Linked DNA regions of Anolis sagrei. The protein of the gene in region 1 interacts with the protein of each later gene in a biochemical or structural test. Links are inferred from orthologs where the notes say so. Each region holds a gene or a part of one and is shown on either strand. Other genes may lie near its edges. The genes, in order: MYB and NLK.

Region 1 (15,292 bases):
GTCAATCCCACCTAATAGGAGGGCTTTACATATGGAAGATGGCTCTGGCCAATTTTCAGGGATCCTTGCTCCTGTACTGCATGCATCCCATCTAGCAATGTCTCAAGAGCCTTAATGTAGCATTTTTAAGAAGCAGGAAGAACTTCCATGGGGAAGAGGGCCCCATTACTGGCCTGGACCTGCACCCTACCCATTCTATGGAAAATACTATATAGAAACACACTTTCATTCCAAAACTGAAACCAATCAAACATCTGTATTTATGCACACTGACAGAGGACTTACACATAGAAGTACAACTCAAAATACCACAAGTGTATACACTTAGGCTGGATCTACACTACCATATAATACAGTTTGTCAGTGTAGACCAATATAATAGTCAGTGTAGACCAATATAAGGCAGTTTGATGCAGTCAAATTGTATTAAATGCATCTACACTGATCATATAATTCAGTTTCAAAGTGTATGATTACAGTGTGCATAGGAAACATTTCCACATTCACAGCAGATACACATTAATAATCTGTAAACCCACAATAACTCATCTATGTAGCCTGTATCAACATTTCTCATCAGATACACCTTTTCACCCTTGTTGCAAGCTTATAAATAAGAAAAGTATATATCCCCTTCCAAAATATTACTAATGTTTCTAAATTTGGAGAACCTTTTGAAATGCACAATCCTGAAGCCACAGAAAGGAAAATGTTCCATATTGTACAAAATTCAAACCCCCTCTAAACACAGTTGGGTATGTTGAGTTTTCCTTAGAATCATCACAAGTCCTAAACGACTTTAAGGCACATGATAATATTCATTAAAATTTCCCCAAGTGGGCATGTCTCTGGATTTCTGTTGTGTCTCTTGTGTGTACTCACCTCTTTAAAAAGGGATGCGTATAATCAGTTCCTGTAAAATGTTTCTGACAGTGCATGATCATATGTGTGCATACTCATATAAATTCAAATATACTTTATATCTAAGTAACACAAAATCAGAATGTTATATTCTTGGAATATTTTTGGAAGGCTCCACTTCTTTACTGATCATATACATATTTAGAGAAGGAATGTATTATACTATTTTGCCTTCAGTGCCCTATTGTAACTTTGGTGTACTCTGGAAATATAGTTTATGGCTGTCCTTGGTATACAAGTACCCTTTGCATTAAAGTGAAAGACTTTACCTCTAGTTCTATACACAAATATTTGGCATTAAGATGCAATGCCTTGAAACATGCATGGGATCACATTGAGGTTGTTGTTTGTCTTTTTAGAAGGAAACCTAATTTCTTATTGGTGTTTATCGTTCAGAGCAGAACTACACATTATATGGAACGTAGGACTGTGCCTCCCAAAGCAGTTCTACTTCAGACAGTTTTCTCTGATGTTATTACACCAAGTGTTTCAGCATTCCTGTCATCACCAGTCAAATAATGGGAAGATGGCAACACAAACTACATTGATGTTAGGTTAAAACAGTGGTTCCCAACCTTTTTTGACCAGGGACCACTTGACCAGGGACCACTTTGACCAGGGATGACTCTCCAACATTAGTACCAAAAGGGTTACAAATCGGTTTTTGGTCAACTTTAGATTCGGTTTGGAGTGCTGATTCAGAACATTGCATTGGCTAGACCAAATCAGCTCTAGTTTCTGATACAGAACATATGCCACCCAGTAATCGCCATCTGCTTGCTCACAGAAAACCAAATTTAATCATCTAGAGCTGATGTAGTAGTAATATTTTGTGGGTAGTCGGCCTCTCCCCTCCTGACATCCCCATTTTGTAAGACCAGTCGCTCTCATTGCTGTGTGGTTTCAAGGCAACGGTGTAGTAATGGTGAGACCGCGGACCCTATTTTCATTCTTGCAGACCACTGGTGGTCCATGGACCATAGGTTGGGAACCAGTGGGTTAAAGGATAGGCATCTTGTACTGAATATTATGGAGGAGAAGAGTAGGGAGAACTTTTTCATATTTCCAGTGAAGGAAATATGTGAAGGTCTGCTGTTCCACTGTCCTTCATTTTGAATTGCCATCTGTCATTTTCATTAGCCCACTTTCTTCCCATGCTGTGTAATATGATGCAAACACATGCACAAATAATCGTACAAATAAGGAGGGAGATCAAAATTGTCACTTGAAGCAACAGGTTAGGGTAACTAGCGGCAAGCATACTTGTATCAGTATGTTGTTCAGAGCAGATGACCTGGAGAGAATTATCCTGTTTCGTGATGTCTGGAACATGCATGGAAAGGCAGTGATCTTCCCAGTACTAAGCATCTAGGGTCAGATGACATAATTTGTCCAATGGCAACCCATGAATGTTATAGGGATTCCGTAGGCAAATAATATTCCAAGGTAGTTTACCAGTTCCCTCCCCTAAAATATAGCTAACAGCAGACATGAAAAAACTTTTAGGGGTGGGGCAGATTGGGGCCAGGGCAGACGGATCAGGAGGGAGGGGCGAGCTCTTGGCAGCAACCTGTCCCTGGCTTTCCTTGCAGCCTGGGGATGCAGTGGCCCACCATGTTCCCAAGCTGAGAGGAGTGAGCTCTCTCGACAGTGGCCTGTCCTTCCCCCTGGCTCCAGAGCGCTCAGCCGCCTTATTCCAGGAGGTGGGCCCAAGGAAGGCACGAGATGACCGAGAGCAATCCGAAGGGCTCCCAGCCACCATGTGCCTTCCTCCCCTGTCCCTTCACCATAGGAGCACAGTCCCAGAGGACAGGAAAATGAGGAGGGCCAAACATAAGCACCCACGGGCCTTACTTTGTCCATGCCCGCCTACAGCATCTGACATTTGTCGGCAATGTAAGTGCTAACCATATCATATCTTGTCAGATGGATTTTATTTAAATCTTTACTGAATTCAAGGTGTGACTTTATTTAAAAGGTTAGAATGCCCGCCTGAAAGGGGCTCTGATAGAGGATCTCTTATCCAAAATGCTTGGGGCCAGAAATGTTTTGGGATTTTGAAATACCCATATTTGCATATGCGTACACTGTGTCTGGAAAATGCAGTGTACGTTTATTTTTCATAAACACCCTATAGATAGATATCTTGGAGGTAATTTTATACACAATATTTTAATATTTTAAAATAATGTTGTGTATGAAACAAAGTTTGTGTACACTAAAACCATCAGAAAACAAAAGTATCACTATCTGGACCACCCATGTGGACAAATTCAGATTTTGGAGCATTTTGGATTTTTGGAAATGGGATACTCAATTGTGTCTTATTTCCTTTTTTTCCCCTCCTTTCTTTTAAGAAGGAAAATATCTTTTTAGCTTCTAGTGTTTGTAGATATTTTCCGTAAGCCTCTGTAAATGTTAACACCTCTCTCCATTATTGGTTGATTATATTTTCTCATCCAAGCTAGCTGAGGTGTTGCTTCCTTTTCCTCCTACTGCCCACGTTTTCCCCAACTTTAGGATCTTCCATATATTGGGAGGCGTGTGTGGCTGTTTTGTTTCTTTTCTGTATTTCAGAGTATATTTATTGTTTCCGTTATAGTAGTTAGCTGTTGTGAAATCATTCAAACTAAAGGTTGCAGGTTATGTTGTTAATAGTGAAATTAACTGGAGTCCTGGCAAACATAGCTATGAATTCAGATTTGAAGGTGTTCTGTTTCAGAATGATTTTAGTTGATAGTCTACGGCAGTGTTTCTCAACCTGGGGGTCGGGACCTCTGGGGGGTCATGAGCGGTGTTTCGGAGGTGTTACCAAAGACCATCAGAAAACACATATTTGGCAGAGAAGGCTGAAGATCTCTCTGCCTGTCTTTCTCTTCCTTTCTAGTATTGATGGACTACAACAGAATTCTGAACAGCTGCCACCCCCACCCCAATCTCATCAATATTCAATGCTGGTGATGTAGGTAGTGTGCCAAGTTTAGTGCAGATACATTGTGGACTGGGTTTGGAGTGCTCTTTGATTGTAGGTGAACTATAAATCCCAGCAATTCTAACTCCCAAAGGTCAAGGTCTATTTCCCCCAAACTCCACCAATGTTCACATTTGGGCATGTTGAGTATCCGTGCCAAGTTTGGTCCAGATCCATCATTGTTTGAATCAAATGCTCTTTGGAGATAGGTGAACTACAACTCCAAAACGCAAGGTCAATGTCCATCAAACCCTTCCAGTATTTTCTGTTGGTTGTGGGAGTTGTGTGCTAAATTTGGTTCAATTCCACCATTAGTGGAGTTCAGAATGCTCTTTCATTATCGGTGAACTATATATCCCAGCAACTACAACCCCCAAATGACAAAATCAATCCCCCCCCCACCCCACCAGTATTCAAATTTGCGCGTATCGGGTATTTGTGATAAATTTGGTCCAGTGAATGAAAATACATCCCGCATATCAGATATTTACATTACAATTCATAACAGTACCCAAATTACAGTTATGAAGTAGCAATGAAAATAATGTTATGACTGGCGGTCACCACAACATGAGGAGCTGTATTAAGGGGTCGCGGCATTAGGAAGGTTGAGAAACACTGGTTTATGGGAGTGTGCCACAAAGCAGGCAGTGTAGGCCTACTGGAGCTACCTCCTTCAGGGCCCAAGTAAGTAAGGGGCCCATCACTTAACTAGCAAAGTGCCTCATTTGCTCTAAATCTGGCACTGCTTCCAGATATTGCACTGCAACTCTGACCATTAGTTCATACTGACTAGAGCGAATGAAGCTTGGAGGGCCACCCACTGCCCCTTGTTGGTTTAGAATTCTGATTGCAAAAGCTCATGCCTATATAAGGACACATAAGAATGGTTTAGAAGTTTGCAGAGATGGAACTGATTTAGGAGTTGGTTCTATGGTCACTGGAAAGCATATGTTCAATTTACTGATGTTAGGTTTAATTTATTGATGATAGGTTTAATTTGAAGTTAGGTTTTATATTGTTTTCGTATGTGGGGGTTTTTTCTGGGATTTTATGTTGGTGGGGTGTTGTGAGTTTTCCAGGCTGTATGGCCATGTTCCAGAATCTGGAACATGGCAATTCCAGACAAGAACCAATCAGGGCAAGTTAATCACCTCCCAACAAAGGATTCTCCAGGCAGTAAGAAGACAGACCTTGAAACTGCTAGGCCCTTAAATGCTAATCAAGGTGTCCAATTTAAACATTCACACCTTCCTCAAACAGACAAGAATTCTTTCTCCTACCCTGGGCTTTCCACAGATATATAAACCCAATTTTCCAAGTTTTCAACAGACCTCACAACCTCTGAGGATGCCTGCCATAGATGCAGGTGAAATGTCAGGAGAGAGTGCTTCTGGAATATGACCATGCAGCCTGGGAAAGCCTTCCACAATACATGTTATGTTGGTCTTTGTTTTAAGGAGGCAATGAATGTTTGCTGGTGTATGTTGGAATCCGCCCTGAGTCCCCCTGGGGAGATAGGGCGGAATATAAATAAAGTTTTATCATCACCACCATCATCAGTAGTAGCACCAGGGAACCAGCAAGACTTTTTTAAACATCTTGAAGCTGTGCTGTTCCCCTGAGAGCGCCGCTAGCTCTTTCCTTCTGCTCAGTCAACCTTTTTCTCACTGCTAGAATCTGGTATGAATGGAACAGACTATCCTGGTAGGGGCTCAAAGGCTGAGCATTTTGTATTTTTCACAGTTTTGTTGCAGGGCAGAAACCGGGCTGCGTGAGTCGAATTTCCTTTCTTGCCTTGTTACAGAAACAGGCAGCACCCTCGGCACACTCCCCAGCTCCACTTAACACATGTGCAGCGGTTGCAGGCTTGGAGAGGCCGCTCCTGGGCTGTTCACCATCCGGATGGGAGGTATTTCAAAACCCTGGAGGTAATGCATTGTCAAAGGCTTTCATGGCCAGAATCACTGGGTTGTAATAAGTTTTCCGGGCTGTATGGCCATGTTCAAGAAGCATTCTCTCCTGGCATTTCACCTGCATCTATCTCAGGCATCCTCAGAGGTTGTGAGGTCTGTTGGAAACTAGGAAAATGGGGTTTATATATCTGTGTAATGTCCAAGGTGGGAGAAAGGACTCTTGTCTGAGGCAAGTGTGAGTGTTGCAATTGGCCACCTTGATTAGTCTTGAATGGCTTTGCAGCTTCAAGGTCTGGCTTCTTACTGCATTAGCATGCAATCTATGTAATTCCAACACTGTTAAGGATTCCCCCATCCTTAACAGTGTTGAAGGAGCCCACAGTGGGTTAAACCCCTGTACTGGCAGGTCTGAAGACCGACAGGTTGCAGGTTCCAATCCGGGGAGAGCGTGGATGAGCTTTGGCTCCTCATGCGGGGAAATGAGAGAAGCCTCCCACAAGGATGTTTGTTTGTTTGTTTTGGTCGTGTCAGGAGCGACTTGAGAAACTGCAAGTCGCTTCTGGTGTGAGGGAATTGGCTGTCTGCAAGGATGTTGTCCAGGGGACGCCTGGATGATTTGATGTTTTTATCATCCTTGTGGGAGGCTTCTCTTATGTCCACGCATGAGGAGCTGGAGCTGATAGAGGGAGCTCATCCGCCTCTCCCCAGATTCGAACCTGCAACCTGTCGGTCTTCAGTCCTGCCGGCACAGGGGTTTAATCCACTGCGCCACTGGGGGCTCTTACAAGGATGGTAACACATCAAAACATCTGGGGGTCCCCTGGGCAAGGTCCAATTCTCTCACACTAGAAGTGACTTGCAGTTTCTCAAGTCACTCCTGACACAACAGAAAAAAAAGTGTTGCAATTACATAGATTGCATGGTAATCAAGGTGGCCAATTGAAACATTAACACCTGCCTCCAATAATAAATAAATAAATAATAAAACTTTATTTATACCCCGCCACCATCTCCCCAAGGGGACTCGGGGCGGCTAACATGAGGCCAAGCCCAACAATTACAACAAGGCAAAAAGAATACAATCATACATGAAAGAAAATACAAAGAAAACAAAACAAAACAGAATATAACAAAAATGAGCCGAACGGGCAGGGCCAAGTACAATGAATAGGATTTTAGAACCCTGGGTGGGATGGATGAGTAGGGTAATGTCTAGGTTCTTGTGGGTTTTTTCGGGCTATCTGGCCATGTTCTAGAGGCATTTCTCCTGACGTTTCGCCTGCACCTATGGCAAGCATCCTCAGAGGTGAAGTCTGTTGTGAGGTTGTGAGGTCTGGAAACAGACCTCACAACCTCTTGGGATGCCTGCCATAGATGCAGGCGAAACGTCAAGAGAGAATGCTTTTGGGACATGGCTACACAGCCCGGGAACTCTTTCAGCTGGCTATGGGCAGCCTCCAGCACCTCCTCTCTCTCTCTCTCTCTCTCTCTGCGGGGATCCTGACCCTAGTGGAAGGCTGCTCGGAGGGAGCCCCTTCAGGTTGGCTCTTCCTCCTGGCTCTGGGGCGCCGTCCCGGCAGGGAAGAAGGAAGCGGCGCTGCACCTGTTGGGCCGCCTGGCTCCCGGCAGGGCAGCTGTTGTGAAGCCCTGGCACGAAGGTGCTTCGCCCCAACCCTCCTCCTCCCAGCCCGACGAGGACAGGTGGGGAAGCTTCCAGCTTGGCAAGCCCCGCGGGCTCCGAGCCAAAGGAAGGAAGTTTTCGCCCAATGCGAGAGAGAGAGGGAGGGAGGGGGCGGCAAAGCGGGTCCTTGGCGTGGAGTGGGAGCCTCGTTCGCGGGGGGAAGTGGGGGTCTGAGTCTCTCCCGCCTGGAGAGAGAGCCCAGCAGCAGCAGCAGTGCCCGCGCTTCTTCTTCTTCCTCCTCCTCCTCCTCCGTCCCCTCCGGACCCGCGGGCAGCGGCTGCGAGGAGCGCCTGCGCACTGCAGGGGCGCCAGATTTGGCGGGAGGGGGAGTGTCCACACATACACACTCACACACACACACTAAAGGGGGAGAGAGAGAGAGAGAAGAGGGCCCTTTGTTTGATGGCATCTGTTTACAGAGTTGACTCTTTCATCTCAACCTGTTTCCTCCTCCCCTCCTTGCCCGCTCCTGAGAAGAAGCACAACTTGGGCGGCGGAGGAGCTGCTGCTGCTGCTGCTGCTGCTCTCTCGCCTTCCTTCTCCAGCGGCTGCAGCAGCAGCACGCCGCCTTCCTCCTCCTCCTCCTCCGCTCCCGCCCACCCGCTTTCCCCCCGGGACTAATGCCAAAGGATGGCCAGGAGACCCAGGCACAGGTAAAGAGGGAAGGAGAGCTTGGCAATGAGGATCTCGGGGGATCGTGGGCGAGGAGAACTCCACGTTCTACGGTTTGCTTCTTAGAGTTTGTGGGTCTTTTTACTTCGGGGATCACAAAGTTGCAAACGGTCGGGGCGCGGGAGGTCTGTCCTCCTTTCTTTCTTTCTTTCTTTCTTTCTTTCTTTCTCGACACCTGTCATGCAAGCTGAGGGTTCAAATCCTCTCCCGAGTTTGCAGAGGCAGCGCTTCTTTTCCCGCTTCCTCCTGCTGCCAACCTTTCCCCAACTTTAGGATCCCTCAAAGTCTGCAAAGTTTTCTCCAGTTGTGCAGGGAAGCGGGAGTGGGCATCGCTTCGGGCCCAGCTCCAGCGCCGAGGTGGGCGCCACGGGAGATCTGGGCCCGCGAGGGGTCGTGCCAATGGTAGGGCAAGCGGGTCAATGTGGGAGCCGTCCCCATTCATCCGCGCGCTCATTCATTCCCGAGTCTTGCAAGCTGGCAAGCAGAACCAAGCGCCTCTCTCTCTCTCTCTCTCTCTCTCTCTCCCCCCCTGGGTGTTTTGTGCAGGACTCCCAATCCCTCGCCCTTCCCGACCCACTTGGCACGCGGGGAGTGTGCCTTGCAGCGCCGTTTGGGGAGAACTTTGCTTCCCCCACCCAAAGTAGAAAAGTATGTAGCGGGGAAAGAGTAAGTGAGTGAGGAAGGGTCTCTTGTCAAGAACTGTCACTGCCTTGCACCGCTTCTTGGGGCGCCGTTTACACTGTGGAATTGAGGCCGATTGGCACCACTTCCCCTGCCAGAACTCAGTGCCGTGGGATCCCAAGAGTTTGGCGAGGCAAAGAACCTTAACAAACTACAACTCTCGCTACTGCACAGCAGGGAGGCTTGAACTTTTTGTGATAGCTGTTCAGCAGTGGAACTCTCTGCCCCGGAGTGTGGTGGAGGCTCCTTCTAGTGTAGGGAGGCTTTTAAACAGAGACGGGATGGCCATCTGTTGGGGGTGCTTTGAGTGCGATTTTCCTGCTTCTGGGCAGGGGGTTGGACTGGATGGCCCACGAGGTCTCTTCCAACTCTAGAATTCTACGGAGGCAGGGCAGTTACAAAGTGGCATTCACCCAACAGTGTGGATCAGGCATGGGGAAACTTGGGTCCTCCCTCCAGGTGGTTTGGACTCCCAACTCCCATCATTCCGAACAGCCTCAGGTCCTTACTTTTTCCCCTTCAGCCGCTTAAGCGTAAGGGCCTGAGGCTGTTCGGAATGATGGGAGTTGGGAGTCCAAACCACCTGGAGGGCTGCAGTGTGACCATGCCTGGTGTGATGCAAGGGTGGGGGGAGGTTGTGGGAAAGCGTCCCCTCGGGCAGGCGCGGCGTGGGATGGTTTCCTTGGGAGCCCCGGGACACTCGCCCACGTGGAGCTGGCCCAACGTGGCTTCCTTTCTCTTTCGCCCTGCGGCGCCGGAGAGGCAGCTTCCTTCCTTCCTTCCCTCTCTCTTTCCCTCGCCTGCTTTCCCCAACTCAGGAAACTCTTCTGCAGTCCCTTTCCCTGAGCTTGACAGCAAAAGGCGGCCCCCAGCCTCCAAAGTTTCCAAGGCGAGAGGGAGCGCGGGGTTTGGGCGCAATGCTGCTGTGAAAGCCAATGAGGGCAGTGCGGAGGGACGGGGGTTAGCGGGGGGGGGGGGAGTGCTCTCCTCTGCACCGCTCCGCCTCGGGCTGAGCAGACCTCGCAAGGGCGGCAAAGCCCTCCGCCCTTAACTCTCTTGCGAGGCGGGCGAAAGGCGCGGCCTTTAAAACGCCACGGCGGGCAGACGGGCGGGAGGAAGGAAGGCAGGCAGGCAGGGAGGGAGGGAGGGAGGGGAGGCGCTCTCCTCCGCTCTTCGTATTTGTTGTGTGTTCTTATTTATACTAGTGGCCCTCTCTCTCTCCCGGAAAGAGGGGGAGTGGTGTGTTGTGTTGTGTTGTGTTGTGTGTGGGGAACGGAGCAGACTGGGGCTCGGTGCTATGGGATGCTGGGAGTGGTAGGGTGTGTTGGGCAGAGAAGGCTCAAGATATTCTAAGAGAGGAATAGACCAACTTGGGCCCTTCCTCCAGGTGTTTTGGACTCCAACTCCCACCATTCCTAACAGCCTCAGCTGAGGGGGAAAAGGAAGGGTCCTGAGGCTGTTAGGAATGGTGGGAGTTGGAGTCCAAAACACCTGGAGGAAGGGCCCAAGTTGGCCCATGCCTGTTCTAAAACCACAACTTCCAGGATTCCACTGTATGGAGCCAGGGCAGTTACAGCGGAGTCAAACTGCAGTATTGCTACAATGGAGATGTCCTTGCAGAAAACAGTCGCTACTGCACTGGTACTGGAACTATATATATATATATATATATAATTATATATATGAGACCCCCCCCCCCCCCCCCCGTGGCTCAGTGGGTTAAACCACTGAGCTGTTAAGCTTGTTGAGCGAAAGGTCGCAAGTTCGAATCCGGGGAGCTGCATGAGCTTCCACTGTCAGCCCCAGCTTCTGCCAACCTAGTAGTTTGAAAACATGCAAATGTGAGTAGATCAATAGGTATCGCTCTAGCGGGAAGGTATGCAGTCATGCTGGCCACATGACGTTGGAGGTGTCTATGGACAATGCTGGCTCTTCAGCTTAGAAGAGATGAGCAACACACCCCAGAGTCAGGCATGACTGGACTTAATGTCAGGGGAAAACCTTTACCTTACTATATATATATATATATATATACACACAGAGAGAGAAAGAGAGAGAGAGAGAGAGAGAGTAGAGTCTCACTTATCCAACATAAATGGGCCAGCAGAATGTTGGATAAGCAAAAATGCTGGATAATAAGGATAATGTTGGATAATCATTATCATTTTACAAATTAAGTCCCAAAACATCATGTTTCACAACAAATCAACAGAAAAAGCAGTTCAGTACATGGTCACATTATGAAGTAGTTACTGTATTTACAAATTTAGCACCAAAACAGACAAGGGTACTTTCTTTTTCCCACGTTTGACTGCATTCGATAATACAGAACATTGGATAAGCGAAGGTTGGATAAGCGAGACTCTACTCTGTGTGTGTGTATCCATATTTGTTTGTATACATGTATATATAAAGGAAAAGCACGAATTAAAATAGTGGGTCTTGTTATTGGGTCAACTTATGTTGGTGATAGCATATGCAAACACATCTGCTGGCAAAAACCCAACCTGAAAATAAGGGAAAAGGTTGGGAGCAACAAACTTGCTAAATGTGGTCTTGTAGTTCTGTCCTGCTTAGGGTACATCTTAACTGTAGGGTTAATGCAGTTTGACACCGCTTTAACTGCCATGGCTCAATGGTATGGAGTCCTGGGAGTTGTGAGTCCCTTCCACACAGCCCTTCCACAATATCAAGGCAGAAATCCCACATTACCTGCTTTGAACTGGAATATATGGCAGTGTGGACTCAGATAACCCAGTTCAAAGCAGACATTGAAGGATTTTCTGCCTTGATATTCTAGGTTATATGGCTGTGTTAAAGGACCCACTGACTTACAACTTGAGCAAGTGAAATAAACCTCTGACTTGACTTTGGGCCCCAAAGAGTGGCCTAATTGTAAAAAAAAAAAAAAGTGCTGTCCAGTTAGAGCTGTTGGATGCCCATCCTGCAGAACGTCACAGTTCATATGTGGCATTGCTTTCAGTGGGGCATGTGGTCCATCCAATGCTAACTTACTCAGAAGAAAATTGATCAATATGCATAACCTTGCTGTCTAAGGCCCTTTACACTCAGCTGAATAAAATCCCACATTATCTGCTTTGAACTGGAATTGAGTCCACACTGCCATATATTCCAGTTCAAAGCAGATAATGTGGGATTTTATTCAGCTGTGTGGAAGGGGCCTTAGACAGCAAGGTTATGCACATTGATCAACTTTCTTCTGTTCGAAACAGATATTGAGGGATTTTCTGCCTTGGTCTTCTGGGTTATATGGCTGTGTGGAAGGGTCCTAAGGTATGCATAACCACAGCAGGTTTGAGTTAGTGGCAGTGGCTTTAATATCACTTCTTAGAGATCATTTTGATGTTAACGAGACTTTTAAATAAGTTTCATGTTTAGGCTGCAATCCTAAACATGAACACTTGGATGTTAGTCTTATTGAAGTCAGTGGGATTAATAAATAGACATGCTTAAGATCAGTTTTGATCAGATCAAGAAAGCTGGCAATCCCTGAAAAACTTGTTATAGAGAAATTCTACACCACACAATGACATATTACTATTGATTCATTGAAGTTGTACTTAGTCAGACAGACTCTCTAAACTGATTAGTAAAATCCATATGCAGTGATGTAGGACAGCCCCTTCTGACCTTTGACAGGTGGTGACACTGAGCAGATTTTTTGTTATGCTTTAGGACTGGACCCTTAAGGGTTGTTATGTATATAGTCCTTAAAACCATGCAAGCTTTTTTTGTGATCCTTAAAGCGTTGTGAAGCAAATTGTTACTAATTCTGTTTTACATGTGAGAAAACTGGCTGAGATGTAACATATTACCAAAGGCCACCTAAGTTGTATTCAGACTGTATGACATTAATGCCTATGTTGTTTTAATCTGCAGGTGGAGGATTAAATGTTTACTCTTACTGTCGGTAGACATAGGAGCTAGCAAACAGGGCAAAAGGGTTGTAAGTGCAGCCTTTTCACTGGCAGGGTATACTTTTAAAGAAGTTAAATAGGAATAGTACTTGCAATCTGAAATAATAAGAGTCTAGTAAGAGATGCATCATATGAGTCTGCTGCTGATGTGTTCCCTCACTAAGCCTATGGCTGAGCTTGGATTCAAATTTGAAGTAACCAAAGCTGATTCTTCACTCCTGTCTAGTTTGTTTCATAAGCCATACAATCTCAAGCAGTAGGTTTACCTGATGAATGGTGTGATAATCTAATTTTAGTTTGTATTAAGAGTTGAGTGTAATTGGTAGCCTTATTTTGCATTTAGTAGCGATTTGTAGGCTGTCAATTTCAGTATATGCATGTCTGTGATGTTGACAATGCCAGAGATTCTGTAACTTTAAATTGCATTGTGTGTATCCACATGTTTTGGAATGCACTGTTACGTTTTGCAGAAATTCAGTCTTTTACATGAGAACAATTAAACTGCAGCCTTTGAACCACAAATTCTGGGTAATCTCATTGACTCGACACTCCCTCCGCATAACAGCTTTTAAGGCACTCAGTCTTAAATATTAGATTTTTAATTGTTCCAATGGTAAGACAAGATCACTATAATGTGCTTATTTATCAAACACGTTTTTTAAAATTTTTATTTGAAGTTTATCTCTTTCATGTGTCACTATAATTAGCCCTAAACCATCCATATTTTCTGTTCTCCTGTAGATACAATCTGTAAGCTGACATTTCAAAAGTTATGTTTATGTTTTAAAGTTAGAAATAAAGCATTGCACAATAGAACTGAAGTACGGCAACATCTGTTGCAAAACGCTCTTAATTTTTCTAAACTGGAAGGGTTCGAGTGGGTGTTTGTGTATTATTCTACTCATACACTGTTTTTGGAGGAAATATCCTAGGGCAACCACTTTGTGGAAAATATGTCAGATGGACTTGAAATAAGAACACTGTTTATGATGAAGCAGTAAGATTGTTCACTTCAGTGCTATGACAATTTTAGATATTACACTTCTCCTCAGTTGTACCTGCACTTGGCCAGAGTTTGTTGATACTGCTCTTCATTTACAAAACAAGCCGATCACTTGATGTCCTTATGTTTTCATTTGTTTTGAGAGGCCTTTGCCCTTGGATATTTAAGGCTGTAGATTTGTGCTTATGTCTAGGCTGACCCGTGTGTGTGTGTTTGTGGAAACAAGTCACACTGTATTTCTAGGACTTGCTTTCTTCTAAGTAATTTTGGACTTTAAGTACTATTCTCAAGGGTTAGTGGGCATGGGGATTTTACTTCTTTTGGCCCTTCTACACAGCCTTACATCCCAGAATATCAAGGCAGAAAATCCCACATTATCTGAGTGTGGACTCAGATAACCCAGTATTGTGAGATTTTCCGCCTTGATATTCTGGGATATAGAGCTGTGTGGAAGGGCCCTTTGTTGCATGACTTCAAATTGTTTCTGACTTATAGTCACCCTATCGCAAACCTAACACAAGGTTTTCTTAAATTAGTTCAGAAGGTGATTTGTCTGCTTTCCTCTCAGGGCCCCTCCACACAGCCATATAACCCAGAATATCAAGGCAGAAAATCCCACACTATCTGCGTTGAACTGGATTATCTGAGTCCACACTGCCATATATTCCAATTTGAAGCAGATAATGTGGGATTTTATTCAGCTGTGAAGAAGGGGCCTCAGGGTGAAAGCGTATGACTCACCCAAGGTAACACAGTGAGTTTCCAAGGTTCAGTATGTATTTAAAGTCTGCCCTTGAGAGCCTGAGCACCCTTCTACACTACCATATAATCCAGAATGTCAAGGCAAGTTATCCACATTGTCTGCTTTGAACTGGTTTATCTGAGTCTACACTGCCATATAATCCAGTTCAAAGCATATAATCTGGATTTTAGACATCTGTGTAAAAGGGGACATAGTGCAGTGTGTAAACCACTACACCACACTGGTCCATTTTCTTGGCATTAGCCCAGTTGAATTCAATAGGCTATTGGCCCTTTGACACAGCCCTATATCCCAGAATTTCAAGGCAGAAAATCCCACAATATCTGCTTTGAACTGGATTCTGAGTCTACATTCAGATAATGTGGGATTTTTTTGCCTTAAAATTCTGGGATATAGGGTGGTTGTGTGGAAGGACCCTATGAGTTTTCAATTGCCTGACTGAACGTTACCGAATTTAGATCTCTGTGACCCACCATATATATTAATATATAAGTTGACCATATGCATAAGTCAGGGGCTGGTTTGGTACCCAAAATAATGGATTTTGAAAAGACCCATGGGTAAGTTGAGGGTCATTCCTTGAAGGAGGGGAAGCACCAGTGCCTTGACTTCTGTCGCCATTTCCTCAGCCAGGCATTCAAAAAGGCTAGAAGTGGTGCCACAGTGGAGAGACTTGGTGCTTCATTTAGTTTTTCCTGGGGCAGACTTAGGCCCCTTCTACACCATCAGATAATGCAGGTTATCAC
Region 2 (15,912 bases), on another chromosome or scaffold:
TTCCGAAGCTGGCCGGATGGAGGCGCCTACAGGCTTCCGTAGAGGCAAAATATCAAGGTGGGTGCAATAATTAATGTGTCCACTGGATGGCGGCAAAGAACAGCATATTGGAGCAGCCTTTGCTTATTAAAGCGTAAAATAGCAAGGCGGGTGCAATAATTAATGTGTCCACTGGATGGCGGCAAAGGACAATATATTGGTTTGTAGAAGGAGGGGAATAGCAAGGTGGGTGCAATAATTAATGTGTCCACTGGATGGCAGCAAAGAACAGTATATTGGCGCAACCTTGGCTTATTGAATAGCAAAATAGCAAGGCGGGTGCAATAATTAATGTGTCCACTGGATGGCAGCAAAGGACAGTATATTGGAGCAGCCTTGGTTTATTAAAGCGCAAAATAGGAAGGCGGGTGCAATAATTAATGTGTCCACTGGATGGCAGCAAAGAACAGTATATTGGCGCAACCTTGGCTTATTGAATAGCAAAATAGCAAGGCGTGTGCAATAATTAATGTGTCCACTGGATGGCAGCAAAGAACAGAATATTGGAGCAGTCTTGGCTTCTTAAGGCGCAAAATAGCAAGGTGGTGCAATAATTATTATGTCCACTGGATGGCAGCAAAGAACGGTATATTGGAGCAGCCTTGGCTTATTAAGGCGCAAAATAGCAAGGCGGGTGCAATAATTCATGTGTCCACTGGATGGCAGCAAAGAACGGTATATTGGAGCAGCCTTGGCTTATTAAGGCGCAAAATAGCAAGGTGGGTGCAATAATTAATGTGTCCACTGGATGGCAGCAAAGAACGGTATATTGGAGCAGCCTTGGCTTATTAAGGCGCAAAATAGCAAGGTGGGTGCAATAATTAATGTGTCCACTGGATGGCAGCAAAGAACGGTATATTGGAGCAGCCTTGGCTTATTAAGGCGCAAAATAGCAAGGCGGGTGCAATAATTCATGTGTCCACTGGATGGCAGCAAAGAACGGTATATTGGAGCAGCCTTGGCTTATTAAGGCGCAAAATAGCAAGGCGGGTGCAATAATTCATGTGTCCACTGGATGGCAGCAAAGAACGGTATATTGGAGCAGCCTTGGCTTATTAAGGCGCAAAATAGCAAGGTGGGTGCAATAATTAATGTGTCCACTGGATGGCAGCAAAGAACGGTATATTGGAGCAGCCTTGGCTTATTAAGGCGCAAAATAGCAAGGCGGGTGCAATAATTCATGTGTCCACTGGATGGCAGCAAAGGACAGTATAGTGGAGCAGCCTTGGCTTATTGAGGAACAAAATATCGAGGCGGGTGCACTAATTAAAGTGTCCACTGGATGGCGGCAAAGGACAATATATTGGAGCTGTCTTGGTTTGTAGAAGGAGGGGAATAGCAAGGTGGATGCAATAATTAATGTGTCCACTGGATGGCAGCAAAGGACAAAATATTGGAGCAACCTTGGCTTATTAAGGAGCAAAATATCAAGGTGCGTGCAATAATTAATGTGTCCACTGGATGGCAGCAAAGGACAGTATATTGGAGCAGCCTTGGCTTATTAAGGGGTAAAATAGCAAGGCGGGTGCAATAATTATTATGTCCACTGGATGGCAGCAAAGGACACTATATTGGAGCAGCCTTGGCTTATTAAGGAGCAAAATATCAAGGTGCGTGCAATAATTAATGTGTCCACTGGATGGCAGCAAAGGACAGTATATTGGAGCAGCCTTGGCTTATTAAGTCGCAAAATATCACTATGGGTGAAATAATTAATGTGTCCACTGGGTGGCGGCAAAGGACAGTATATTGGAGCAGCCTTGGCTTATTAAGGCGCAAAATAGCAAGATGGCTGCAATAATTAAAGTGTCCACTGGATGGCAGCAAAGAACAGTATATTGGAGCAGCCTTGGTTTATGAAAGCGCAAAATAGCAAGGTGGATGCAATAATTTTTATGTCCACTGGATGGCGGCAAAGGACAGTATATTGGAGCAGCCTTGGCTTATTAAGGCGCAAAATAGCAAGGCGGGTGCAATAATTAATGTGTCCACTCGATGGCAGCAAAGAACAGTATATTGGAGCAGCCTTGGCTTATTAAGGTGTAAAATTGGCGGGTGCAATAATTATTATGTCCGCCGGATGGCAGCAAAGAACAGTATAGTGGAGCAGCCTTGGTTGTCGAGCAAGGTGGGTGTAATATTAATTTGTCCACCTGAGGGCAGCAAAGGACCATATTTTGGTGCTGGAGCAGATTATATTAATGGGAGGGTTGAATGAAAAGTAATGCCTCCTCCTTCGTTACTTGGGTTTGGATGGGAATATTTTAATAAACCAAACGCAGAAATAATCCTTAGAATGTGCTCTTTAATTACCACTATTCACTTTTCCACATAATCACCAGACAATTGGATACATTTCTGCCAAAGATTAACAAGTTTTCTGAAGCCGTCACGGAAGAAGTCGACACTCTGTTTCCGCAACCAGCATCTCACAGTTCTCTCAATGTCTTCATCAAAAGCATAATGATGTCCCCACAGATCTTCTTTCATTATCGGGAATGGATGGAAGCCAGATGGTGCTAAATCTGGACTGTATGAAGGATGTCGTACGGTGGTGAGATCCAGTCTCTGAAGTTTCAAGTCTGTGCGCTTTCATTTCAGACGTCAGCATCCTGGGTTCCCATCATGCACAGATCTTCCAATATCCAAGCAAAGCAATAATGTGACCCACACGTTCTTGTGAAATGCCGATTATGCTTGAAAATTCTCTCTGAGTGATACGACGATCGTCCGGAATCAATCTGTCAAACTTTTGCTTGTGAAACTCGGTGGTTGCTGTCACAGGACGTCCAACTCTTTGTCACGCAAGTCAGATGTTCCCACCTCAACATCTTTAAACTTACCTGCCCAACAACGCACAGTACTCACATCAACACAATCAACATAAAGAGCTTGTATTCTCTGAGGAATCTCCTTTGGGGTGACACCTTCAATGATTATATCTTCCTGTCTGGGAGGAAGGGGTTGGACATCTGTTGGGAGGGCTTTGGTTGTGTCTTCCTTCATGACAGAAGGAGGTTGGACTAGATGGCCTTTGGGGATCCCTCCAAATCTAGTGGAATATATACTGCCTAAGAGTTTCCTTCTTTGGAGATCTTCAAGCAGAGGCTGGATGGCCATCTCTTGAGAGGGCTTTGATTGTGTCTTTCTGCATGAGAGGCAGGTTGGACTGGATGGCCTTTGGGGTCGCTCCAAATCTAGTGGAATGTATACTATGAGAGTCCCCTTCTCTGGAGATCTTTAAGCAGAGACTCGATGGCCATCTGTTGGGAGGGCTTTGATTGTGTATTCGCATTGACTGACAGTCTGCACAGGGTTCCATACTTCGCACTTTAACAACGCAACCATTCGATGCTAAGGCTTCCCGCGAAAATGGAACTGTAGAGGAGAGTCTACTGAACAAGCCAGTACCTGCCGCATACCAGTACTGCTATCTGTTGAGGAGTTACGAAGGTGGAAGCATTACTTTTCATTCAACCCTCGTATGAACTAATACTCTTGGGTGGAGAAGTCTTGTCGAGCTACAACTTTCAGGATCCCATAGCCGTCCAAGTGGCGTTAAACTGCATTTATTTTACAGTGTAGACGCAGCCAAAGAACAGGCCTTGGGAGAATCAATTTTAAAGCAGACCTCAAGGGCCATTGAGTGTGACCCCCATTCTGCCACAAAGGAAGACACCATCCAAACCCTCCTGACAGATGGTCATCCAGCCATATGCTAGAATGATAATCCAGCGCAAGCCAGGCAGGCAGATATCATGAAAGCCTCTCCCGGAAAGAGTTAATGCCCGTGACCCAAATATGGAGGCCCGCTTTAAAGTGGTTGCAAATTGCTTTTTAATCCTCGCTCTCGAGGATTGTCTCCGAAAACATCTGTCAACGTCACCAAGAGACTGTCCACATGGAATAGAGCAACGTCCTTCAGCAACAACCATACACGGGTTTGTAGTTTCGCACACATTACGCTCTGAGGTCATATCTACCCCAAAGGGGAAAGTCGAAACCTTCCCGACAGATGGCCAACCTTTGCGTTTACCCAAAAATTCTAGAAACATAGACTGCCATATGATGCCATTACAGAATGCACTCAAACTGCATCATATGGCAGTGCAGACTCGTACAATCCAGTTCACGCATTCTGGAACAGACAGGACGGCACCATCCAAACCCTCCTGACAGATGGCCACCCAGCCTCTGATTAAAAACCTTCCAAGAAAGGGACTTCTTCAACTAATTATGATGATTCTATGACGAGAGACAATAACAGAGAATTAAGGCAGCTGCAAAAAAATTAAAAAGCCCAATCATTTCTGGACCGAAGCTGAAAAGAAGTGATTTGCCATTGAGTTTGAAGGCGCATTCCTCCTAATTATGGGATTTTTTTTTTCATTTTCCATTAAAGGCAGCACATCTGTTGGCAGCAACTCTCATTCCCCCCAAAACAACACACGTTATTTACCGAATTGCAATCATGTGCTTGTATATTCCGACCACATTCTCCCGGCATCTGCACAGACAGATCCCCTCTCTGCCACCTCCCACGAAATGCCATTTATTTTTCCCACTTGATTGCTTTGGTGGATGGACATTGAGAGAAGAAGGGAGTCTATTTGGGTCATGATCCAACCGGGGTCACAATAGGAGCTGGGATGGTGGTCCCTTTGTTAATTCATCTATACTCTGGGCTCAAAGCGGATCACAATAAAAAACATTACAACTCAAAATACACAAATATCTGTATCCTATATTATTATTATTATAAATATAAATATAAAATACTATATCCTATCCTAGACACATTATAAAAGCATGTGTGTATATGGCTAGGGTATCCACTTAATAATAATAATAATAATAATAATAATAATAATAATAATAATATAATATATCCTATCCTAGACACATTATAAAAGTATGAGTGTATATGGCTAGGGTGTCCACTTAATAATAATAATAATAATAATAATAATAATAATAATAATATAATATAGCCTATCGTAGACACATTATAAAAGTATGTGTGTATATGGCTAGGTTGTTCACTTAATAATAATAATAATAATAATAATAATAATAATAATATAATATATCCTATCCTAGACACATTATAAAAGTATGTCTGTATATGGCTAGGGTGTCCACTTAATAATAATAATAATAATAATAATAATAATAATAATAATATATCATATCCTAGACACATTATAAAAGTATGTCTGTATATGGCTAGGGTGTCCACTTAATAATAATAATAATAATTATTATTATAATATAATATATCCTATCCTAGACACATTATAAAAGTATGTGTTTATATGGTTAGGGTGTCCACTTAATAATAATAATAATAATAATAATAATAATAATAATATAATATATCCTATCCTAGACACATTATAAAAGTATGTCTGTATATGGCTAGGGTGTCCACTTAATAATAATAATAATAATAATAATAATAATAATAATAATAAACTTTATTATTATTATTATATTTATATATTATTTTATAATATAATATAATAAATTATAAAATAAATTTTATAATAAATATATTATATATATTTATACCCCGCCACCATCTCCCCAGGAGTCCCCAGTAGCACAGTGGGTTAAACTGTTGAGATTGCTGACCAAAAGGTTGCAGGTTTGAATCCGGGAAGCGGCGTGAGCTTCCACTGTCAGCCCCAGCTTCTGCCAACCTAGCAGTTCAAAAACACAGTGGCGGGAAGGTAACGGTGCTCCATGCAGTCATGCAGGCCACATGACCTTGGAGGTGTCTACGAATGATGCCGGCTCTTCAGCTTGGAGATGAGCACCACTCCACCAGAGTCGGACACAACTGGACTTAATGTTGGGGAAAACCTTTACCTTTACCTTAAATGTAATAATAATAATAATAATAATAATAATATAATAATAATAATAAAATAATAAATAAAAACCTACTTTACCTACCATGTCCCAAAGTGGACTCAGGGTGGCTTATATGAGGCCAAGCCTAACAACAACAACAACAACAACAACAACAACAACAACAATCTTTATTTATACCCCGCCACCATCTCCCCGAAGGGACTCGAGGTGGCTTACATGAGACCAAGGCCAAATAACAATTACAATAAAGAAAAACCAAAACACAAACCCAAAACACAAACAATAACTATCACATCATATTAACATAAATATTAATATAAATATTAACATAAATTAACATCACAATACATCAATATACAACAAAACACAGCAATAAAATAAAAGAAATAAAAATACAACACAAAACCAATTAAAATCGCAACATTTAAGACAAAGAGATCAATCTCAAAAGGCAGGGCCAATTCCAATAGATTATAAATTAAAACACTGGGTGAGACAGGAAGTTTAATGTGTCTGGACAGAGGATCCGGGGGATGAGTAAGAAATGATAGAATAAAGTGCTTGCGAGTGCATTTGCAGGACTTGGTCAGTTCAGGGAATTATTGTTCATTCTTTCATTGAAGGCACACTGGAACAGCCAAGTTTTCAAGCTCTTCCTGAAGATTGCCAGGGTGTGGTTTGCCTAATATCTCTTGGGAGCAAGTTCCAGAGCCGGGGAGCCACCACAGAGAAGGCCCTCTCCCTCGTCCTCACATGTTGCACCTGCAATGGAGGCGGGAGTGAGAGAAGGGCCTCTCCGGAGGATTGAAGAGATCGTGTAGGTTTGTAAACAGAAATACGTTTCCTCCACCACAGACATCCCAGGGTTCCTTTCTCTCTCCATTGGTGTGGAATTTGCATGACCCCCGCCCACTGCCTCTCCCTTAATGAACCCTTTCCTATTCTTTTCTATGGCACACAGCAAACAGAGGAATTGTCAAAGGCTTTCATGGCTGGAATCACTAAGTTGTTGTAGGTTTTTCAGGCCATGTGCTAGAAGCATTCTCTCCTGATGTTTCGCCTGCATCTGTGGCAAGCATCCTCAGAGGTTGTGAGGTCTGTTGAAAACTAGGAAAATTTGGTTTATATATCTGTGGAATGTGTGCTGAACAGCCCTCACAGTCAGGATGGTCCATCAAGTTTCGGAACATTTCATTTATCCACATATTTCGGGGGAATTTCCAAAGTTTTTATAAGCAACATTTAAAAAAAACTACAAGAACAATCTCCTTGAATTTTCTACACAATGACACAAAATAACAGAGGATCATTCCCCCCAAGTTTCAGAAAAAATCATACATTGACCAATTTTAGGGATTTTTTTGTTGAGAGGTGATTAGCTGTCCCGGATTGTTTCATGTCTGGAGTTCCCCTGTGTTTGAGTGTTGTTCTTTATTTACTGTTATAATTTTAGAGTTTTTAATACTGGTAGCCAGATTTTGTTCATTTTCATGGTTTCCTCCTTTCTGTTGAAATTGTCCATGTGCTTGTGGATTTCAATGGCTTCTCTGTGTAGCCTGACATGGTGGTTGTGAGAGTGGTCCAGCATTTCTGTATTCTCAATTAATATGCTGTGTCCAGGATGGTTCATCAGGTGCTCTGCTATGGCTGACTTCTCTGGTTGAAGTAGTCTGGGAACATGAACATCCGTTGACCCGCGGATATGGGGGCTCAATGGATTTCCGTATCCGCGGTTCCACGGAAAGCGGTTTCGGCCTTCCTGGGAAGCTGTAAGAGCATCTCGGGCGAGCCAGCCGTGATCTGTGGCCCGAGAAAGGAAAAGTTTATGTTAGGGAGTGTTAGAGGCAAGAAAGAGATACAATGTATCACTATGAGGAGGAAAATTTTGCAATCAAAGGATACTTTTATTGAGGGATTTGTTACAATATTAGGGTAAGGGAGAAAAGAAAGCAGAAAAGTGACTTTCAGTTGAAGCTGCTGCTGTGGCCACCGTCCCTTCGATGTTGGCCCACCCAGATGTCCTGGAACTGCGGAACTCCCTGCTGTGGTTCAAATCAGGCTGAAGGCAGAGGTTTGCGCGTTCGTCAAACTTGAAAAGATTTCCCCCAGGCACTAACAAGCCACACCAAAAACTGCCAGGCCATCAAATACTTTTCAAGATGGGCAATTGAAACATTCAAACCGACCTCCAACAGACAAGAGTTCTTTCTCCCACCCTGGACATCATTCCACAGATATATAAACCCAATTTTCCTAGTTCTAACAGACCTCACAACCTCTGAGGATGCTTGCCATAGATGCAGGTGAAATGTCAGGAGAGAATGCTTCTAGAGCATAGCCAGACAGCCCAAAAAACCTACAACAAAACAGAGGAATTGATCAGCAACTGAGAGGTTTGGGGACAATTCACCATGATTTATAGGAGTTGTAGGTACTGGGATGTATAGTTCACCTGCAATCTAAGAGCACTGTGAACTCCACCAGCAATGGAATTGGACCAAACTTGGCACACAGAGCCCCATAACCAGCAAAAAATACTGGTGGTCTTGGGGGGGGGGGGAATTCACCTTGATTTGGGGGAGTTGTAGTTCACCTACATCCAGAGAGCACTGTGAACCCAAACACCGCTAGATCTGGACCAAACTTGGCATGCATGCCTGATATTGTTGATATTTGATTATTGGAGGGGGTTTTTTTTGGGGGGGGGGAATGACCTTTCTTTCCGGGAGTTGTTGTTCACCCACAACCAGAGAAAGAGTGACCCCCACCGATGATTGACGAGGAACAAACTTGGCACACAGACCTGATATGCCAAAAAATTGACAATTATACAATAATGAAGCAGTATATAATTTTATATTATCAGTAGTGATTATATTTTATGTATTAGCTTGATTGAAATACATTATTATTATATTATTACTATATTATGTTAATATATTACTATTATATTATTATATAAATATATATAATATAAAATATATAATAATATATAATAGAATAGCAATATTTTAATATAATATATTATATTATTATTATATATATTTATTATTATATATATTTATATAATAATATAACATATTATATTATATATATATAATATAAAATATATATAATAATATATAAAACATCTTGGGAAAACTACAACTCCCATTCCTCCTCCGAAAGGCCTCCTCACTGAGGTCCCTCGCCTTGCCTAGGCTTTGACCCCGCCCCCTGCTCCTCCCCATAGGCTAAGCCCCGCCCCCTCGGCTTCCTGCGCGTGACAGAGCCCTCCGCTTGACCCAACGGTTCCTGCTTCACGCTGTCCTTGCATTACCCCGCCTCCGTGACCGCCATTGGCTGCCTTGGCTGTCCATCTAAGCACCGCCCCGCCCACTAGAAAGACCTCCCGACTCCGCCTCCTTCCAAGGAGTTCCCCTTTCCATTCGTGAGCTAGTCCCGCCTCCTCCTACTCTTCCTCCTCCGCTATTGGCTCATCTTAATTCGACTGACAGCTCCTCTATAAACTAGATCAGTTCCCCTCTATGGATGTGTGTCAGAGGAGTTTTAAAAAAATCCCTCTGGGCCCTTATTGGTTTCCCTAAAGGCGTCGCGCAGCCTCATTGGCCTAGGGACGTGTCAATCCGAGGCGGGACTAATAACCATATCTGAGGCCTTTTTGGATCCTCCAGGTCATTATTGGTCTCCTTACAGGCGTCGCGCAACCTCATTGGTCCTCGAATGTGTCAATCCAAGGCGGGACTAATAATATTGGACTCCCAATATCTAGGTGAAGGTTGCGTGAGGTGACAAGGAAAAGAGGCGGGAAGATGTTCGGAGGCGCCTGATTGGCGAAGAGGCGGAGACGAGTTTCCCAATTGGGCGTGGCCTCAGAGGAGGAGTGTGCCTATTGGTTGGAAAGGGCGCGCGCGCGGAGGGGGGGCTGTTGAGCGACGGGAGCGCGCATTCGGCGTGTGTGCGCCTCTGAGAGTGCGCGAGGGCGCACGCATGCGCGCTCCCCGGGTGCTCTTTCACTCTGGGGCTCCTGTGAGGAGAAGGAGAAGGAGGAGGAAGGAGGCGGCGAGGGCGAGTGGCGGCCGGTCGGGCGGCCTGAGGGGACGGAGGGGCGGCGGAGGAAGGCGAGGAGGAGGAGCCGGGGGGGCGAAGAGAGGCCTGAGGGAGCCCCCTCGCCCGGCCTCTGCCCTCAGGAAAGGCCCCGGCGTAGCTCCCGCCTCCCCGGCCCGCCGAGCGCCCCCTATTGGCCAGCCGCACTCGCCCAGGCCCCGCCTCATTGGGTCAGGCTGCTGTCAGGCCAAAGGTAGGCCCTTGCCTTGACCTTCCCTGCCTCCCCTTCTCAGGCACCATCAAGACCACCTCCGCCACCCAGATTGTTACCTTTTCCCTCATCCCATTCCCCATCTCACCTCCTCCTCCTCCTCTTCTCCTTTCTGCATCCCTCAGCTCCCTCTTCTCTCCACTTTGCTCCTCACCTCTTTCCATTTTCACCATCTTTCTCCTTGCACTCTCCTTTTCCTCTTCTTTTCCTGCTTCTTGCAGCTCTCCCTTCCCTTTACAATATTCCCCTCTTGCAATATAAATACACATATTCTTCCATTGCTCGTTTTCTCCTGCTTTCCTTCCCTAGATCTCCTTTTCTTGTCTCCCTTTCCTCTCCTTTTTCTGCTTCTTGCAGCTCTCCCTTCCGTTTACAATATTTTCCTCTTGTAATATAAATACATAATTTTCCTACATTGCTCGTTTTCTGCTGCTTTCCTTCCCTAGATCTCCTTTTCTTGTCTCCCTTTCCTCCCCTTTTTCTGCTTCTTGCAGCTCTCCCTTCCCTTTACAATATTTTCCACTTGTAATATAAATACATAATTTTCCTACATTGCTCGTTTTCTCCTGCTTTCCTTCCCTAGATCTCCTCCCTTTCTTATTTCTCTCCCCCACTTATTTTCTTCTTCTTGCACATTTTTATCTCTTTTTCCCCACCTCTGTTTCCTCTTGCGCTCTTCTCACAAGCTTTGAAAAATAAAATATAATAATAATAATAATTGTTTTGCTCCATTGCTCATTTTCTCCTGCTTTCCTCCCCCAGATCTCCTCCCTTTCTTGTCTCCCTTTCCTCTCCTTTTTCTACTTCTTGCAGTTCTCCCTTCCCTTTACAATATTCTCCTCTTAAAATATAAATACACATATTCTTCCATTGCTCGTTTTCCCCTGCTTTCCTTCCCTAGATCTCCTCCCTTTCTTATCTCTCCCACTTTTTTCCTTCTTGCACATTTTTATCTCCATTTCTCCCTCTTGCGCTCTTCTCATAGAAAAAGAATATATAATACAATATTGTTTTGCTCTGTTGCTCATTTTCTCCTGATTTCCTGCCCTAGATCCCCTCCCTTTCTTATCTCCCACTTATTTTCTTCTTCTTCTACATTTTTATTTCTTTCTCTCCATCTAGGTTTCTCCCTCTTCTCACAGCCTTTGAAAAATAATATATAATACAATATTGTTTTACTCCATTGCTCATTTTCTCCTGATTTCCTCCCCTAGAACCCCTCCCTTTCTTATCTCTCCCTCCCACTTATTTTCTTCTTCTTGCACATTTTATCACTTTCTCCTCTTCTCTGTTTTCTCCCACTTGCGCTCTTCTCACAGCCTTTGAAAAATAATATATAACACAATATTGTTTTGCTCCATTGCTCATATTTTCTCCTGATTTTCTCCCCTAGATCTTTTTATATCTCTCTCCCACGTACTTTCTTCTTGCACATTTTTTATCGCTTTCTTCCTGTCACATTCTCTTTCTTGGTTTCTCCCTCATGCAGTCTTCTCACAGGCTTTGAAAAATAATATACAATATTGTTTTGCTCCATTGCTCATTTTCTCCAGATTTCCTCCCCTAGATCCCTTCCCTATCTCCCATTTATTTTCTTCTTCTTCCAGATTTTTATCGCTTTCTCCCCGTCTTGGTTTTTCCCTCTTCTCATAGAAAAATAATATATAATACAATATTGTTTTGCTCCATTGCTCATTTTCTCCTGATTTCCTCCCCTAGATCGCCTCTCTTTCTTATCTCCCTCTCCCACTTATTTCTTTTTTCCACATTTCATCACTTTCTCCCTCTTGCACTCTTCTCACAGGCTTAGAAAAAGAATATATAATATAATATATTGTTTTGTCCCATTGCTCATTTTCACTTGCTTTTCCTCCTGCATTCTCTCCTCCTTTTAAGTACTCTTTCATTTCACTCCTCTCAAGTTCCTCTCCTCAGTTCTTTTTCTTCTTACATGCTTTTTTTTGGGCAGGATTTTCCTCTCCTTTAAAAAAACTTTTTTCCGCATCCCTGAATGCATTGCATCCTTCATTTCCCTTTCATGCTCTTTCCATAACTTAGACATTCTTTGCTTCGTAAAATCTCCGAGAAGCATCTCCTCAAGTATTTTCTTCCCTCTTTTCATGCATTTTAATTGTTTCCCATTTATAAAATTGTTTCCTTCTTCTGTTTTTGCATTTTCCATCTAGTTCTGTTTGTAGTTTTTCATCTCTTTTGCATTGTCTCTGTTTCCCCCAGTTTACTCCCTTTATATTCTGTGACTTTTGGTTTCTCATTTCTGTTTTTTTTGTCGCCTGATCACATTCTAAATTAACATAATTTCTTTTTGTACTTGTTTCCCTCTATGTTCCTTTTTCCTCCCGTTTCTTTGGTCCTCTGTTAGGTTTTTAAAAGATTATTTCTGTGAACTGATTGCTTCTTATCCACATTCCTTTTTTGTACTTCATTCTTCTGTTCACATTACTTGACTATCCTGTTTCTTTCAGCTCCATCATTTTCCGTAATTTTTCTCAGTCACCCAGTGTTATCTGCTTTCATCTTTGGTTTTAAGTTATTTCATTTCTGCCCTTCTAAATATTCCTGCAACCCGCTTACTCCTTGCCCTCAGTAACTTGTATTGCCCGACTTCTCACCTCCCACACACTACTTTTTAAAAGAAGTATTTCCTGTCAGTCTTATTCTGTTTTACTTGCTCCTCTTTTCCAGTTTCTTTCTTTCTTTCTTCCCATTGATCTGGTCTTTTCTCATATTCTTCTTTCTGTCCTTTTTGGACATATCCTCTCCCCCACTGACTTAACATTCTTTGCTTTCATTAGTCACTTTCTATTCCCTTCCACGGGAAATTGCTTACATCCATCCAAGCTTAATATTAAAGGTGAATGGATGTATACACAGCACAGAGTGGAGAAGACTTGTAGAAGCCCTTAAGGGACCTTCTTGCACATTTTGAAAAGATAAATGAAAAGAATGTGGGAATGGAAGGGGTGGAGTTGTCAGTATTCCTAACATTTTCTAGGGGGGTGCATTCACATCCTTTTTCTAGGGGGGACGGGGACTGACTTGAATTCAAGACTGGCACAGAAAAAGCAGAAAGATGGCATTCTAGTACCAACTACATCAGCCATCTTGGGGGGAAGGGGAATTTATTGCATGCTCACACTCACACACGCAGAAGCCTCCATTTTTAGTGACTTAATGAAGACGTAAAAGACCTGTTGAGCTCCATGTTTGCAAAGGTGGGCAACTTGCTTGTGAAAGTGTAGCAGACCTTCATTTTTGTGGCCAAATGACAGCTTGACCCAGTTGTTCTCCAACCAGAGGGCATCATCTTGAATGTCTCTGTGTAGTGCCACAGCCGGCGCAAAAATGATGGCGGCTTACAATGGCGGTACATCCGCCGCCGCAGCAGGTCACCACCACCACCATCACCACCACCTCGCCCACCTCCCTCCTCCTCATCTCCATCACCACCACCATTCCCAGCACCACTTGCACCCAGGCTCTGCGGCTGCAGTGCATCCTGTGCAGCAACATGCTTCCTCAGCGGCTGCAGCGGCCGCTGCGGCTGCGGCGGCTGCAGCCATGTTAAATCCAGGCCAGCAGCAGCCATATTTCCCGTCACCGGCACCAGGTCAGGCTCCTGGGCCAGCTGCAGCAGCCCCAGCTCAGGTACAAGCTGCAGCAGCGGCTGCAGTTAAAGCGCATCATCATCAGCACACGCATCACCCGCAGCAGCAACTGGATATTGAGCCAGACCGGCCTATTGGATATGGAGCCTTTGGTGTCGTCTGGTGAGTATAGATGTCTCTGGTGGCTTCCAAGCTATAGTGCGTTCATGTTGCCATTGGATTTGCATGTTACTTTCCCCACAGTTTCTTGTACAGTTCTCTGGTGTGTGAGGTCTTAGGAAGACCTCATCCACTAGAGTAAGCAATTTTAGTGGAATGTAAGTAGCACAAGTGAAACACTTTTGTTCTCATATGTTGGCATGTATTTTGCCGTATTTTCCTCTTATTTGTGTCTCAAAGTCTTTTAACGCTAAGATAGTTTCCCAGCTTCTGTAAGGTAGTTTCCCAGCTTCTATGTCGTATTACTTGAATCCGAGGATGCACCCCTGTCAATAAGAGCCTGGTGGTTGGCATTTAAATAATGTCACAAGATCAGAGTTTTTAGTTTAGGATCTGGTTTGATTCATCACTTAGCTCAGGATGAGTATATAAGCCGTTGGTTTAAGATTGGTTCTATAAAGCCTACTCCATTGGCCTTTCCGCATCCTTCCTAATTCATTTGGGTTTTGACACGGCCCTCAAATCAAACAAAGACTATGGGACATTGCCTTTTTTGAGTTGTGCTCTCACTCTTATGTATCGTTCTCCCCTAGTGCCCTGTCCATACATTATGTTGGGTATTTCCATGCAGCAAACTATCTAAAGAACTTGACTGTGGCCAAATACCGCTGGCTATTTTCCAAGGCAAGGTGCAATGTGCTCCCATCTGAATTGCTGCGTGGGAGATTTACCGGTACCCCATATAATGAAAGACTCTGCCCATGAAACAAACAGGAAGTAGAATGCATCTACCACATTCTACTGTCATGCAATTTCTTTGAACAGGCCCGAGCACATATAATCAACCCCCTTCTAAGAAACTTACCAGCAAGTCCAGTGAAATTTTATGTGAAGTTTCTACTTGGTGACAACCTTCCCCACGTGACCTTGGCGGTTGGCAAGTTTCTTTCTGAGACAGGCAGACAGTTCCCAATTTTAGACATAGGCTGAAACACTTCTTGTAGTCTTTTACCTATGTTTTTAGCCAACATGTGTTTTAAGCAGTTTTTAACTGTTCTTAATCTCATTACCTGCATACTTTGTACACCTAGGGTGCAATAAGGGTGTTTGGACCATAATAAAATGTTGTTGTTGTCTTAAAGTATACCTGAGGAATAGTTTTTGTAGGCAGAGAAATTCATGGTTTTTGAACCCAGTAAATTTGGATTTGTTGTTTAACCCCCACCCCATTTTTACCGTTTTGTCATATACTCCAACTTATTTTTCCATCTTGAGGGCAAGAAATACTCTTTATACTCGTAAGTTTGAATAAAAAAGCAATCCAAAAACCTAGGTGGGACAATTTAAGTACTGTACCTGAACTCTTATATTAAAACTCCTTTTCTGAGAAGAGTGGCAAAAGGCAAGAGCTTTGTCCCTCTCAGGAGAATCTAAAAGAAGCATTGACCCTCTCGACTCTTTTTGCCACGTTGCCATTTCTGGACTTTTTGAATACCTGGACAAGAAGATGGCCCTCTGAGGCGGTGTTCCCTTCTGAATGGAATGGCCCTTGACTTATCCATGGGGGACATCAAAATCCATAATTTTGTCCCTAAAACCAGCCCACGACATATACATGTACATATACGGTGTTTTTTGGTGCTTTTATGCCTTTGAAGCTTCTACTATGTATTCCTTTGCAATATGAAGCTTTCTCGCCCAAATTTTCTCGCGTCGATACTTTAAAGTGAGTCTCGATGACTCCTGTGGGACTTCTTCCAAGGTACATGTGAATAGGATTGCAGGCTGAGCAAGTTGAATTACTGTATATACTTGAGTATAAGCTGAGTCTTTCAGTCCTTTTTTAGGCTGAAAATGCTCCCCTCAGCTTATACTCGAGTCAAAGTTATTTAT

What was found.
Region 2: of the proteins of MYB (region 1) and NLK, one has a biochemical effect on the other in vitro, tested with the Homo sapiens proteins (2 studies listed by BioGRID, with this or other methods). The link is inferred for Anolis sagrei from reciprocal best matches to the Homo sapiens genes MYB and NLK.

The regions. Positions count from the first base shown.
Region 1 is NC_090021.1:80,593,614-80,608,905, reverse strand, and holds the start of MYB (transcriptional activator Myb), read left to right. Parts: upstream 1-7,871; 5' UTR 7,872-8,119; coding exon 8,120-8,142; intron 8,143-15,292. UniProt on the Homo sapiens protein: Transcriptional activator; DNA-binding protein that specifically recognize the sequence 5'-YAAC[GT]G-3'. Plays an important role in the control of proliferation and differentiation of hematopoietic progenitor cells.
Region 2 is NC_090031.1:25,524,234-25,540,145, forward strand, and holds the start of NLK (serine/threonine-protein kinase NLK), read left to right. Parts: upstream 1-9,865; 5' UTR 9,866-13,564; coding exon 13,565-14,022; intron 14,023-15,912. UniProt on the Homo sapiens protein: Serine/threonine-protein kinase that regulates a number of transcription factors with key roles in cell fate determination. Positive effector of the non-canonical Wnt signaling pathway, acting downstream of WNT5A, MAP3K7/TAK1 and HIPK2.